Linked DNA regions of Drosophila melanogaster. The gene in region 1 interacts genetically with each later gene. Each region holds a gene or a part of one and is shown on either strand. Other genes may lie near its edges.

Region 1 (5,378 bases):
ATTTATCGTAGTTTATACCCCTGCGCTTACTGGGTTCTTGGTACACAACGAAAAATAAACAATGATATGGGAAACTACATTTATTGTAAGAGAAATATTCAGCTCCATTTGTGGAATTGATTTTACTGTGATTATTCTAGAGGGTTGAATGACAAGAAAATTACCGACATGGTTTTACAGCCTACAAGTTACTGGATTGCAAATGAAGAAATTTTAGAAAAACACTTTGTACTCATACGGGTTAAGTTTTAAATTTACATTTCTGACAGTGTGCTAAAATCAATTTATCTACTGCACATGTTTGACTTTTTGTTTACAATGTCCACCGTCATCGCCTGCTTTTAATATTGCGAAGGGGGTAAATGGTTTGACACCCATTATCAGTATCAGTTCGACGCACGACAATCTCAGCGAAGCGTTCGGTGTGCGACAGCGGAACATCGATTCATTCAGGCAGCATAAGCTTTAGGCTACTGATAAGATTGTGGCATGATTTCACGCTGGGAAACTATGGGCATGGTTTTGTTACACAGTTGCTACGCATGTGACGCGGCCGCGGAAATTAACTTAAGTCCGGACATGAGGTCTGGACCTCCCCCACAGCCACCAATTGCCGTTCAGGTCAATTTAACGTCAGCGTTTCAAGTCAAGTTCAAAGTCAACGGGGAGAGTGATTCTAAGCTGTAGAACTAGACCTAGCTTGAGTCACGGCACCGATTCATTTGATCTGCTGATTGGACTTTCCTCATCGAATGATCATTGCCGAGCACTTAATTGCCGAGTGGAATGTTTAGGACAGCAATCTTCAGTTGTTTTTCATTGTACACAAAATTGGAAGTCACTCTCATGTGGCCGGCAAATGGCATGTTCCCTATGTTTAGGGGTAATTGTATGCAAGTGTAAATATTAAGTTAGCAGAAGTCTCGTAGGGTAAGGATATTTACTAATTCGGTGTGGTGATATCATATAGATTTGCTTCTAGGGACTTTAATCAGACCATTAAGCTCGAATGCAATCTTTGCGCTTATTTCACTTAAGCAATTATATTTTATCTTTATGTTCAAACTTTTTAGGGCAGATAGTGCATACGCTAGAGTGCTTTCGTTCTACTCACTACTAACTCACTACAAATCACTACCTAAATAGGCTAATAGACGCATTTTAAAGACCCCAATTTCGGTAAATTCATGAAATTATAAATTCTCTTTTTTATAGTCCTATTTATGAATTATAAATGCACAAATTCATTTTCATACGCGCAACGGCAACTGTGAAAAGTGAGGAATCCCAATAACCAAAAATTAACAGGGACTTGGTGGCAGAAAATTTAACACTCATGAGAACTACAGGGTGCGAGGGCAAAGCTTGGGTTAACAGGATGATAGGTACACAGAAAAAAAAAACTATTCCATTGAAATTTGCGATCATCATTCATACGGTGTTTATGTTTTTGGAGTAGTTGATTCAAAATTGTAAAAAAAAAACCCTGTGTTTCCTTTAGCAATGTGGTCCAATCAGTTCATCATTTTATGCATATAATCTAAATAATAAAATTGAACCTGATTACACATCAAAATCAAATTTCTCTCCGTGCATCGGGGGAGAGAACAATAAATGTACACGGGGTTGCTGTTGCTTTTATTCCTTAAGGACGGGAATAACACACTAACCGCATGGGAGAGAAAAGAAGTGGAAGAGGGGAGGTGGGTAGGGAAAAGGAGCGAAAGAAGGAGAAGCGGCAGGAGCATAATAAAGACAAAAAGTACGTGGGTGGAAAACAACAAATACAGCCCAAATTGTATAAACTCACGGAACAGTTATTTCCCTCTATGGGTGGAAAATTGTTGCTGCTAATTCCCTTGCTGCTGTTGTTGTTGTTGTTGTTGCCGCTGCTGCGTAGGCGTAACAGTTGTTTTGCCGATGTGTGTGTGTGTGTTCTAGTATAATTTGCAGCATCTGCAGTGCAATAAATTCCACTAAACGAACATTAGCCACTTTCAATAGAACCAAAAATCTCACTGCAATTAAGCAATAACCGCGCAAGCAATCAATCCCGATTAGTTAAAGGAATATACGCGCGTACGCACAGATTTTTAAACAATCATCCGCTTTCGCCGAAAGAGTGCCGGCACTCGAAAAATACCTCCGCTTTAATCAAGAGTCCGCGGGCAATTGAAAAAGCTCTCGCTTCGCGTGTTCACGGCGTGTACCTACATAGGTACGCATCAATTAGGTACCTGCCGCCCACTGCTTTAATCGTAAGTGCATTTCTGATTTAAAAGTGTGACACGAGCCTTATAAGTCTTATAATTTATATTTTATGCAAACAGCTTTACAAATTTTTAATGTGTAGAAAGAAACTGCGTTTTATTGAATTTGAGCATCATCAAACTTCAACCCCAAAGAATTACACATAAGTAGTTTCGTTTTTGCTACCAAAGATGCTGACGTTTATTTTGCGTATTAGATATGGCTTTGTTACAATTTTAGTAAAAGTATTTTAAAATGGAAAGGTACAAATCTGAACTTTAATAAAACACAAAATTGTTTAATTTAAAAACTTCAAATATTCAAAAATTCCTATAATTCAATTAAGTAACCCACTGTGCAGCGGCTTATCGATTTCCTCCGACAATCGATTGGACCATGTTGTTTAATTTCGCGACATATCGATACTATCGTGGTAGATTGGCCATTGACCAACGCGTTTTATTTGCTACCGGTGTGGCTTTTGTTTGCTTAAACAATTGGATAATTTATTGCAATCCCGGCTTAAATGCATATGATTGAAGAATGCATACATCGGATATCAGCATGACCCAGGATCAGGATGTGAGCACTTGTCGCCTGTGCCACCATAATACGGATCCCAACTCGCTAAACATTTTCGATGACACCGTGCAGTTTTGCAAGGATGTGTCCATTGCAGAGGTTTCCAAGAGTCTCTGGAGCGTTCAGGTGAGTGGGCCATTTATAATCCATGGAAAAAGTGCATGAATAACTTCTCCACCTACAGTACGATCGCAACGAATGTTTGTCGGAGCTCATTTGCTCAAGGTGTCTGGAGATCCTCGAAGAGGCATTCGAGCTGCGAAAAGGAATGCAGGAGCGGGAACAGTCCCTGCAGGAGCAGCTGAAGGAGATGATTAAAGATCATCCGAAGCACCGTCCAGGCCTGAATGGCAACCCCGGAGTATTCGTACCCGAGGAGGGCTGCATTATTGTGGAAGTTGATCCAGAGAATCTGGCAGAGAGCAGTGAAGAGGAATTCGCACTCGGCTCCGATGGGGAGTACGAAAACTATGACGACGATGATGAGGAGGAGGAGGAAGACTACGATGAGGAGGACGAGGAAGATGGCCAGAACGGCGAAGACGTCGACATGCCACTGGGCATGGATGCGGCCCAGATGGCGGCTCAACAGTCCGTTGCCAACAACGCCAACACCACGGAGGCACGGCCAAAACGAGCGTTCCTCTGTCAATACTGTGATCTTGGGTTCACTCTGCCCGCCGAGTGTCAAGAGCACGAGCTGGCTGCACACGATCCCAACGCACCGTACTGCTGCAACTTTTGCAACATCAAGCTGGTTACCCGGCCTGCTTTGATTTCGCACATAAAGACACTGCATGATCCGGACCGTCCGTATGTGTGTGCTCACTGTCGGAAGGGTTTTGTGCGCCGCTCCGATCTTAAAAAGCACACAATCGTGCACACTGGCGTGAGGCCCTTCACATGCAACGTTTGCTCCAAGAGTTTCTCGCGGAATACAAATCTGACCAAGCACATGCGCATTCATAGCGGTGTCAAGCCCTTTGTTTGCCAGCAGTGTCCGCGATCCTTCCAGACGGCTGTGGAAATGATGCGCCACACACGTTCGCACGGAGAGGTAAAGGCTTTCCAATGTGGACGCTGTCCCTACTCGTTTTCGCGCAGGGATAAGCTAATAGCCCACCAGCAAGTCCATACCAGGCGGGACATGGAGCAGCAGCAGCAAATGGGTCTAATTCCCCCGATGGAGGGTGATCTGCAGCAGCAGGCGTTGCAGGCTAAACAAAAGGCTGCCGCACAAACCAAAAACTCACGCTATTACCACTGTGATGTCTGCGATCGAACTTTCCAACGGGAGAGGGACCTGCAACGCCATCAAGCTCTTCACATGGACTCGCTGTTCGCCTGCAAGACATGTAATCAAGGTTTCAACCGACGCGAGCAACTGCAGCGCCATGAGCTAGAGGCTCATGGTCCCAGCTTTACGTGCGGAATCTGTTGCATTAGCTTCCTGCATCAAATTGAGCTGGAGAATCACCTCAAAGTCCATCAGTTGCAGCACAAGATGGCCCAGCGGGCTCAAGAGGCTGCTATTTTACCCCTAAAAATGGCCGAAAAGGCTCCAGTGGCTATGACGGCTCCGCTAGTTCAGGATCCCCAGCTAGTGCGTCCCTCGGCAGCGGAACTGTCGTTCTACAGCAACATGATTCCCACAATGAATCTGGGCTTCTACAGCGAGACTCGTCCCGAGGAATAGAACAACATATTTACATGTTTAATAAGCTTAGTTGATAGGTCGGAAAAGTTTTGTAGGTCAAGGCTGTTTTAGTCGTTCAGGTCAACATAGAATCCATTGGTGTTAATGAATCTGTATAGTTTAAGTCATCTGACTATTGTCTGCCAAAATGTAGCTTAGTGGTTTTTAATAAAAGGCCAAATCTGAAACGGTTTTCTTCGAGATCGTATGACTTTGTGAAGATATTATTTTTCATAAGATATTAAAGAAAGTTTTCTGCTCTATAAAAAACTTCTTAAAGTTAAGTTATGTTAAACCTATTTAAAGTAGGTTTACTTAATATATAAATAAAATATCAAGTAAGGTATTTGAACATTTTGTATTAGCAGTCGTCTCAGACCAACATGTTGCGTGCAACAAGTTGCACGTTGTCCGATACGAAGAAGGTCTTCTCCGAAATCTTCAGAGCAACTGCACCGCTGCAGATTCTTTCTTGAGTTCGCCCCGTACGGTAGTGCCTCTCGACCAGCGCTCTCGGATCTTGATCGCCTCGAAATCTCGTAATCGCCTCGAAGTGCGCGTAGTGAATTGTGCTGGTGCTGACAGTGTAACGTAACGTTTGATAGAATAATAAATAATAAGTATTGGAGTGGGAGATCCGCAAAGAAATGTGGCCAAGCTACCATAAATAAAGTGCGGATTTCAAACGAGACGATAAATCTATTCCCGAAACGGGCACGCAATCGAGGGAATACGAATCCACCTTACGGTTCGCTTGGTTTTGGTTAGGTTCAGGTTCCGCTGAGAGCGGTAAGTACGCAATTACCTTCGCCATTGCCAAGGGTCACTTCGCAGGCGATTTATGTGTATG
Region 2 (9,018 bases), on another chromosome or scaffold:
CACATTAAGTCTAAGTGAATGTTGGATGCGTGAGGACTTGCGCTATATTGAAATCTTGCCAACACCTGAAAGTCAGAACCGCCCGACGATTGGAGTGATCCGAGTACTGGCTCCAAGCTAAATTTGCTATGCATTTTAACCATTGTATCGAACATAGACAAACCAAAAAAAAAAAAAAACAAATCTGTAAACACGTCCAAAACAAAAGCGAGGACGTGGATGCACAAGAATAGATTTCCTGAAAATAAAGTGGAAAGTAATCCAGATTCTTTGGTTGAGCAATTCTATTCTAGTGTAAGCACCTCCTTCAAAATCATACGATATCAAAAATACAATTTGTAGAATTTAATGCCAAAACAAGCAAATACAAAATCCAAGTTAACTCTTCAATCAAGAACAATTGTAACGTAAAAAGATTATAAAATAACTTATTTGTGGCAATATATATTTCCAACGTTTTCCCCCCAAAAATTTCCGGCAATAAATTGATGTACCAAGTTTTAAAACTGATTGTTTATTTCTATTGGGTTTAAAAACACTTCATCTCAACGTTTATCCACGAAGAGAAATTATAAAACGGAAGTATGTTTTATCCGCCTTTTTTCACAATTGTAAAGAATACAACGCGGGGGTAAATTTCTTAATAACAAAAAAGTTATACTAAAATTGGCTATCTAAGAATTAATAATATACACACAGTAGTGGAAATATTAATTTATACAATTTAATCAGTTTTCAAGATTACCATTATTTGCTAGCCTAGTTGGTAACTAAGGTCTTGAATTGTCCGAAAGATTGATGTATTTTCCCTTCTGCAGGGAAATTTTCTTGGGCAGGCTGATGAACTCTCCTCCGTTGGTACATTTCGTCGGGGATTCCGGGAAATCTGCCTTAGCGTAAAAGCTTTTCTTGCGGTATGGCAACTTTCGGCGATCGGGTTCAACCCGTTTCATGGGGTCCAGCGTCATAAACTTGCCCTCCAGAAGACGTCGTTCCTGTTGGGTAGACGGCACTTTGCTTTTGAATCCAGAAAAGAGGCCGTGGGAACTCATGTGCGACATTAAGCGCGCCCACACTCGATAACTTGAGGTGCAGTCCTTATATGGGCACTCATAAAATCGCTGCTGCGTGAATTTGACTTTATGGCTCCTCGTGTGCCTCCTGTAGGATCCTTGGTTAGCGAAGGACATGTTGCACTCCACGCAGATGAAATCGGATACATTGTGAACGCTGTTCTCGTGGCGGATAACGTCGAAATAGCGTGGGAATATCTGGTTGCATCTGAGGCACAGAAATTCCAAATCCTTTGCGCCGCACATGGTCTTGTTGTGTTTCATCGTCTTCATGTGCTCATGTAGTTCGTGTAGTTTGTGGAACTCTGAACCACAATCGCGGCAATAGTAGACCGGATTCGGGCGGGGTTTACAAGAATGCATGCGTATGTGGGTCAGGATTTCGAGCACATGGCCGCAACAGGTGCACAGCATCCGAGTGGCTTGGGTCTTGTCCTTGAAGAACTTGGTGACTGCCAAGCCATCGCGTGACAATCCCACGCTGAAGAAATCCACGGACGCGGTTTTCAAAGATTCTTCGACTACGATCTCCATATGCTCGTTTTTTTCCAATGGATCTTCCTTCACTGGCTCCGCGATATGCTGATCGAAAGAATTCTCCTCATCATTCTTTTCCGTTTCTACCTCTTCTTTGTTTGATGTCACCTCCAACTTGATCTGAAATGCAGTGGAGTCGTCTATTTCGATGGGCCTCCGGTGAAACTCGTCCTGGGCCGTGCCCCACTTCTCCAGGGATTCGCTTATGCGCAAAGTCTCTCCAAAGCAGGGCTCGCAAATGCAGTAATTTTCCCCCAGGATAGCAGCCTAAAATACGTGGGTTTCTTTGCATTTGACATCCATTGGACTCACTTTCAGAACTTACATCAATTTTGTACCAATCGAAAAGTCTTTGCAGCAGTTTATTGGCCGATTTGAATTTGGGCTTCTCGAGATCGATCTCAATTGCTCGGTTATCCTTGCATAGTTTGCAAATTTCCGCTTCTGTCATTTTGCTGATATTTTCGAGGAGGTCCAAAAACCAAGTTAATAAAAGGCAAGTAATCAATGATTTCTTCGATGTCTGCTAATCGATACTATCGATAGATGTTTAATTTATCGATACAATGCAGAGCTGCTTAATGTCGATAGGCAATTGAATTAATCGATTTTTAATTTACGGACTTAGAAATTTATGCAAATCTAAAAATAAATTAATTTTGATTGATTTGAATAGAGATAGTTGTTCAGATTTAGGAGTTAGGTGAACGATCTGAGATCGAAGTGAATTTTCTAAAGATGCCGCCTGCATATTGAACGGTATAAAAGCTTTCAATGTACACAAATTTGCCTAACATTTGCTAAGAGAACCGGAAAATATTGTTTAATATCATAATCGAACAAAAACCAATTTACAAGTTTAGACTGTAGTTTTTTCATTACCTAAAAAAGTATTTGTGTAATTATTTGAATGTTCGAAACCCAAAACAAGAAAATACAAATAATTATGAAAAAAGTAAGAAGTTGACTAATTGCAATATAAATTTAAAAATTAAAAAATGTTGTAGTGAATCCAGGATACCAGGAAACTAGTTCCATTCGCCTCCGATAACTTCCGAGTATCGATAGGCTCTATCGGCCATCAGAATCGCGATCTAGTTCGGTTCGCGTGCAGCAGAACGCAAAGTACAACAGGATTTTTTTCGTTCCGTGTGACGTGAAAAGTGCAAATAGTAATTGTTCGAATTAGTTTAAGCCTAGCTAACTAACTAAATAAATAGCCATGGTAGGTAGTTGTTGATTGACTGAGATAAAATGCTGACGCAGTGAGCGGTGTCAGTGTGTATGCATGTGAGCCGCGCGTTAACTGGTGTGTGTGTTTTTGTCGTGGCAATGTGTGCGTGTTAAAAAAAGCGGCCGCCGCGTCACAATACAAAATTGTGCTTCGATTTTTCCTAATTGCATTTCGATTTCTCCCTATTTCCGTCTATTTCCCGGATCAGTCGTTTGCGGAAAAGATAACGGGTCTGCTGGCACGGCCGAATCAACAAGATCCAATTGGACCGGAGCAGCCGTGGTATCTCAAATATGGAAGTCGATTGCTGGGCATTGTGGCCGCCTTCTGTAAGTTGTAGGATATATAATAAATTATCTACTAGCTTAACACATTAAAAAGTTGGGAAAAACATCCGTGACATTGGGCGGCCCAAAAATATGTTGCATCGATTTTTGTGTACCACCCTTTGTTGTTGTTGCTGTTATCTATTCGTAGGTGTAGGTGTGCAGTTGTGTTCGTGTGTGTACGCACGCTCTCTGACATTGATAAAGGAAAAACAAGAGAGGGTGAGTGAGAGGTGAGAGGCAGTGAGAGCGGAGAAAGGAAACATGGAAAAGACAACACAAAAAGGATACACAAATTCACACACTGAAAAAAATACTAGTTATGTATGTAGCTAAAGTTTATTTTTACATCAAAATCAAAGAAATGTAGGGTAAAGTGTGAGATTTCCAAATGAATTAAGAATGAAACGTATAATTTTAAGGTAAAACAAAGTCCAAAAAAGGTTTTTTTTTGTTTTGTTATTGAAATATAAAATAATACATTCACCCACTTAACTAAGTGGGCTTCCTGCACTTAATATCTCTTATCTAACCATTTCGTTTGATAACTTTTTATTTCGTGTGTAGGAAATTGCAAGTATGTATAGGAGCTTTTCTGTGTCAAGTTTGGCGCTCTGCTTTTTCTTTCCGCATCGAATGTAATTCTCTGTGCCCATTCAATCGAAATTCGCACTGCCTTTTGTTGTATCAGCAGCTTCCCTCTTTCCATCTCTATTTTTAACTTTGTTTTACCCGTTTGCGTATTTGCTTTTTTATCTGGACTCAGTTAACCTTAACCCTTAGGCTGCCACACGTGTTATAAGTGCAATATCGTAATAAGTCTATGCGTATCTTAAATTCAATTGGGGCATCTTTTTTGTAATTTCATCATCACCTTCTGAATGCATAAAAAAATGCAGTTCAATAAACTTTTAAGTAGTCGTGATCTACTTTGATTAAGTCCAAGTCAATCTTTTTAATCGCAGTTGGGGTTTTGATTATGCTATTGGGTTTCGTGTCGTTAGAATACTTACAAAAATTATTTTAAAAATCAATCTAAACCATACATATGTATATAAATGAAAATTCCACAGAAACAATATGCCTCATTGACATATTATTCCTGGAATTTTTAGAGATCAACCAAAGGAATATTTATTTATTCAAAACGTTTTTAACATCTTTTTTTTCTCTGTACAAAAGCATCTTTTGTTGTTGGATATTCTGGCAATGATTCTCACTTAGTGAAATGCAGAAATTGCCCAACAAATGAACACCATCCACTTAAAATCAATATAAATAGCTGAATACCTCAATTAAGGGATCACAACTCACTCGTCCGGCTTCCACAATGAACCGGTTTTGTTTGCGTAAAATAAAACCAAAGTCTATGATTAATAAATAATTTTATAAGCCGTTCCGTGGAGCACAACGACTTCTTCCCCAGGTTGGGTCAGTTTGCCTGGCTTTAAGAACCGCAATAACCTCAAAACCCAGATCCGATTTCGCAAAAGGAAAAACCTAACTTGCGAAGCTAAATATTAAAAGTGGCCTAAATCGTGAAATCTTTTTTATTTTATTATTCATGTATTTAGAATTTTAGAATTCAACCTTTCCTCGTGATCTTTTGCTGCATTTATACCAGCCACTTTTATCCAATTATCACGCCCCAGGCATTTGTTTATCTGCGAATTATAGTCGTATGTGCTGTTTACTCTTTGTTTATGCTTTTATCATAGACCAAAAGCAGCTGATAAAATATTTTAATGTAATTCACTTGTACGCCCCTCTAGCGATATCGAATGGAATTTAGTGAATTCTACCTGTGAACTGAACTACTTACTATCAACTAACAATTTGCCCAACTGTTTTTCATGCTGTTTGTCACGCTTCTGTGGCTCGTTTTTGTTTAAAAAATTTTTAAATAAAAGAGAAGGCCATAAAAAGTTAGAAATTGGCACAATATGAGTCAGCGTTGTAGATTAGATTGCGTTTCCTCGTTTTTACCATACGGGGCGGTTGGCCCGACATAATGGGTCTAGTGGGAGTATGATATTGGTATTTTTGGTCAGTGTTTAGCGATAAAGATATACGCCTTTTATTGGAAATTACAAAAATAGCTTGACCTCTGCATACATTAAATACAACATATGATAGGAATGTAATTTTTTTAAATAATAAAAAATCAATAGAAGTTAGCAGTAAGCAGTAACTTGAGCTACATGGAAACAGTAGATTGAGGAGCAAATTCATAATAGCCAAGGAAAATATTCATTATTAGTAGATTATAACATTGCATAACTAACATCTTTTATCCCATGTTTTCCTTCCAGTTGCCATTCTTTTCGGCCTGTGGAATGTGTTCTCCATCATCACGCTCAGCGTATCCTGCCTGGTGGCTGGCATCCTTCAAATGGTGGCAGGATTTGTGGTGATGCTCTTGGAGGCTCCCTGCTGTTTCGTCTGCTTTGGGCAGGTGAACGAGATCGCGGAAAAGGTGGAATCTAAGCCCTTGTACTTCCGTGCCGGGCTCTACATTGCGTGAGTAACCAAAGAAATTTGTCACAAATTGTAATATTTCCTAAAGATTATGTTTTCCATTTCAGCATGGCCATTCCGCCCATTATTCTGTGCTTTGGACTGGCCAGCTTATTCGGCAGTGGGCTGATCTTTGGCACTGGCGTGGTTTACGGCATGATGGCGTTAGGCAAGAAGTGAGTATGGGGCACCTCGGAAAATCGCAGTTAAATTCAGAAAATTGCAGCTATGCCGCAGAATTTTTAAAAGAAATAGCTGGATTCAAATCAAACTGCATTGATTAGGCACTCATGTGTTCCTAAAACATTAATCTGAATTTAAAAAACAAGCTTTATGGTGAATTTCTGAATTTAAAGACGACTTCGATTATTGGGTTAGTTTAGTTGCTAAGCGAACGGAGGAGCGAGCGATTTAGTTAGTTTTGCTAAGCCATTTTTGCTAATCGAAACAAAATGTTTTCTCTATATTCCCACGATGTGCTTGCCACTGTGAAAACGCTTAAATAACTATAAACTAACACGTAGAGCTTCTCGAGAGGACATGGCCGCCGCTGCCACATCGCCCACACAGATGGCCGGCAGTCAGGCGGGCGGTCAGATGCAGATGGGCGGCGATCAGCATATCACACTCATGGAAGACCCCGATGTCTGGCGCCCCACATAAATTCCTAGCCGCGCCATTAGTAACTGCCAAAAAACCACACTCAGATACAGATAAAGACACAGATACTCAGATACACAGATTCACACACAAAATACTCCACTAGAAATGCGAACGATGCAAGAATTGATCGAGTAACAAATATTTTACGGCGCCTAGTTTTTAGTGTTCGTTCCGAGGATAAATGCAACTAAGTGAAAAGGAAAATCACTACAAAGCAGCATTGTAGGGCATCAGAGAACTAGTATACAGAACACCCCACCAAATACAAAAGAAAATTTAACGAAATTCTCATTACTGTTGAAACCGAGAGTGTTAGTAATCAAAGTATATTTTGGGCAAATGCATTTCCGTCATTCGACCCCCCGTTTTGCATGGCATTCGTACTATATTCGTATTCAAATTTTTTAATATCTTTCGTCGAGCGGTTGGTGTTGTTAAGAACTACAGTTAAATATATATAATATGCATAGAACAACTACTGATAACAATAACGTAACTCACATGTCAAACTCTGCAGCAAGCATATATTTTTAGTGAGAAACTATATTTGAAAGCTAACCGAATGCAAGAGGAACCGGAACCTATAAGTTAACCACAGCTTCCACACACTCACACACAGCTAATGCTAATGGAAAGCCACTGATGATATGGACAAGTGAATGTCGAGAACCTAGAGCAATATGTACAACTCAGAAATAATTAACTTTATATGCTTTGCTTCGATGTAAACCATAAAATTAAATGTTAAACGTTATTTGAGAATCGATTTGCTCGCGGGATAGTCACAATTTGAAATTGAACATAATCAAGCATACAGATAGAATATATATATATATATATATATACAACAAGTTGAGAATTTACCAGTTATATTTTTTAAATGTTGTAACCGAAAAGTGTCCATTTCAATTTGATGCATTGTTAGACGGTTTTCTTTTTAGACAATTACTTGGTTAATAGGATTTCGTTTTCGGGTTTCGTATGATTTCTTGTTTGCTAGAAGTATATGCTTATTTTTTTTAGTATACCTAAGTTATTTATAAGAGTTTATTCCAATCGTTTAACTTTGAAAGTCTGAGAAAAACGTTTTAAATTATTTTTGTTGTTGCCTATTGGCATTCTTACCACAGAAGCATTCCAAAATCTGTTTACTTTACGCATAAGTTATTGTATAGTTTAATTATTATAACTTTAAATATACATTATTTACAAGAAACTCGCGATAATTTATTACAATTTAGCCTTCGCCAGCAACTAAGAGTCTCACCTAAAGTAATCACGAATCATAATTAATTTGTTGAACTTTGTTAATCAATGAACGCAACACTAAAAATGAAAACATAAACATGTAAAATATTTCGTTAGAATTTGAACGCGCATGATTCAAATATCAAACACTTTGTACATGCCACCTGAAAACTGTCCAAAATCCTGCCGTTAAAGCCAAGTACATTCAACGACGGCCAACAGCGATTAACAACAATATACGATTTACGTTAACGAGTTCTGAACTTTGCTGCGTCCAAGAGATCACTACAGGCAAATACATTTTGAGCTTTCCTTTTTGTAATTGCTAACGATTGTAAATTGTATATTTTTCGTAGATTTTGTCAATGATTGATGACGTATTTATTTACTTGTGCACACGAAGAATGAAATTGATTTAGATTAGTTCCTGTAGTTCCCGGTATTTATGTAAGACTTGTATACTGTATTCATGCTGCCTTAGTTTTTTTTTGTTTGTCTTAGAAAAGCTTTTAGAAATATCTGGCTGTTCTATCGACCCTTTGGTTTCATGTAGGCAAAGTCACAGTTTTTAGTTGAGCACTTGTAAATTGTATAATTTTGGAAACCATTTGCCAATGTTTTGTACTCTAAAGACTAATGTAATCCTTTTACTTTTTCAACAGAGCATCCGCCGAGGACATGCGGGCAGCTGCTCAGCAAACCTTCGGAGGAAACACACCTGCCCAAACCAACGATCGAGCGGGGATTGTGAACAACGCCCAGCCCTTCTCCTTCACCGGTGCCGTGGGCACGGACAGCAATGTGTGATTCAGAAGCTAGCTGATCGGGATTTCGAGGAATCGAAGAGCTGGGTGTGCCGTGAGAAAACAAGACTCAAAACGCAACATTTGAAGGGCAAACCTAACCAAGAGAACATCGGCAGGCAATCATAAACATAATCATGTGCAATTTCTGATTGTTCAATAACCAACGCAAATGGATAACAAAAGTTTTTAAATCCGATTAGCTCTGATCTCTTTCTAGAGCAATCCAAATTACTCGATCAGAAAGAAGCCACCCAAAACAAGATCATTAAATTTTAAACCATTTTTGTATTAAATGTATGTAAATGTATATTGGTTTTAAAAGCGTTTTGCGTTTTCTGTATCCTATTAATTAATTGTGTTGCCTGTGTCCCATCATTCCAAAACATTTGGTTTCAACTAAGTAGAAATTGCAAATAAATTATTGAACGACATCACTAGCGAGGTGAAAAAAAAGATCATGTAAAATTTATGTTTAGTCATAGTTTAAATATACCTTAAATATATTTAAATGCATAATACTAAAATGTTTAAATTAATGCAAATAACACTATAAATATTGTATGTAAACCATATTAAAATTGAATTAAAGATACTTTAAATTATGTTAAATAAAA

What was found.
Region 2: of prg (region 1) and fwe, changing one enhances a phenotype caused by changing the other (phenotypic enhancement), as found in Drosophila melanogaster (one study listed by BioGRID).

The regions. Positions count from the first base shown.
Region 1 is NT_033779.5:8,461,817-8,467,194, forward strand, and holds prg (piragua), read left to right. Parts: upstream 1-2,671; 5' UTR 2,672-2,793; coding exon 2,794-2,958; intron 2,959-3,016; coding exon 3,017-4,528; 3' UTR 4,529-4,878; downstream 4,879-5,378. UniProt on the Drosophila melanogaster protein: May be involved in transcriptional regulation. The function of this protein is unclear.
Region 2 is NT_037436.4:15,810,091-15,819,108, reverse strand, and holds the start of fwe (flower), read left to right. Parts: upstream 1-2,698; 5' UTR 2,699-2,832; coding exon 2,833-2,835; intron 2,836-3,052; coding exon 3,053-3,173; intron 3,174-5,482; coding exon 5,483-5,690; intron 5,691-5,755; coding exon 5,756-5,863; intron 5,864-6,211; coding exon of another isoform or gene 6,212-6,350; exon of another isoform or gene 6,351-6,867; coding exon of another isoform or gene 6,868-6,901; exon of another isoform or gene 6,902-7,889; intron 7,890-8,260; coding exon 8,261-8,405; 3' UTR 8,406-9,018. Other genes in the region: CkIIalpha-i1 (CKII-alpha subunit interactor-1), read right to left, coding at 771-1,877, 1,936-2,061. UniProt on the Drosophila melanogaster protein: Transmembrane protein which mediates synaptic endocytosis, fitness-based cell culling, neuronal culling, morphogen gradient scaling, and calcium transport. Regulates synaptic endocytosis and hence couples exo- with endocytosis.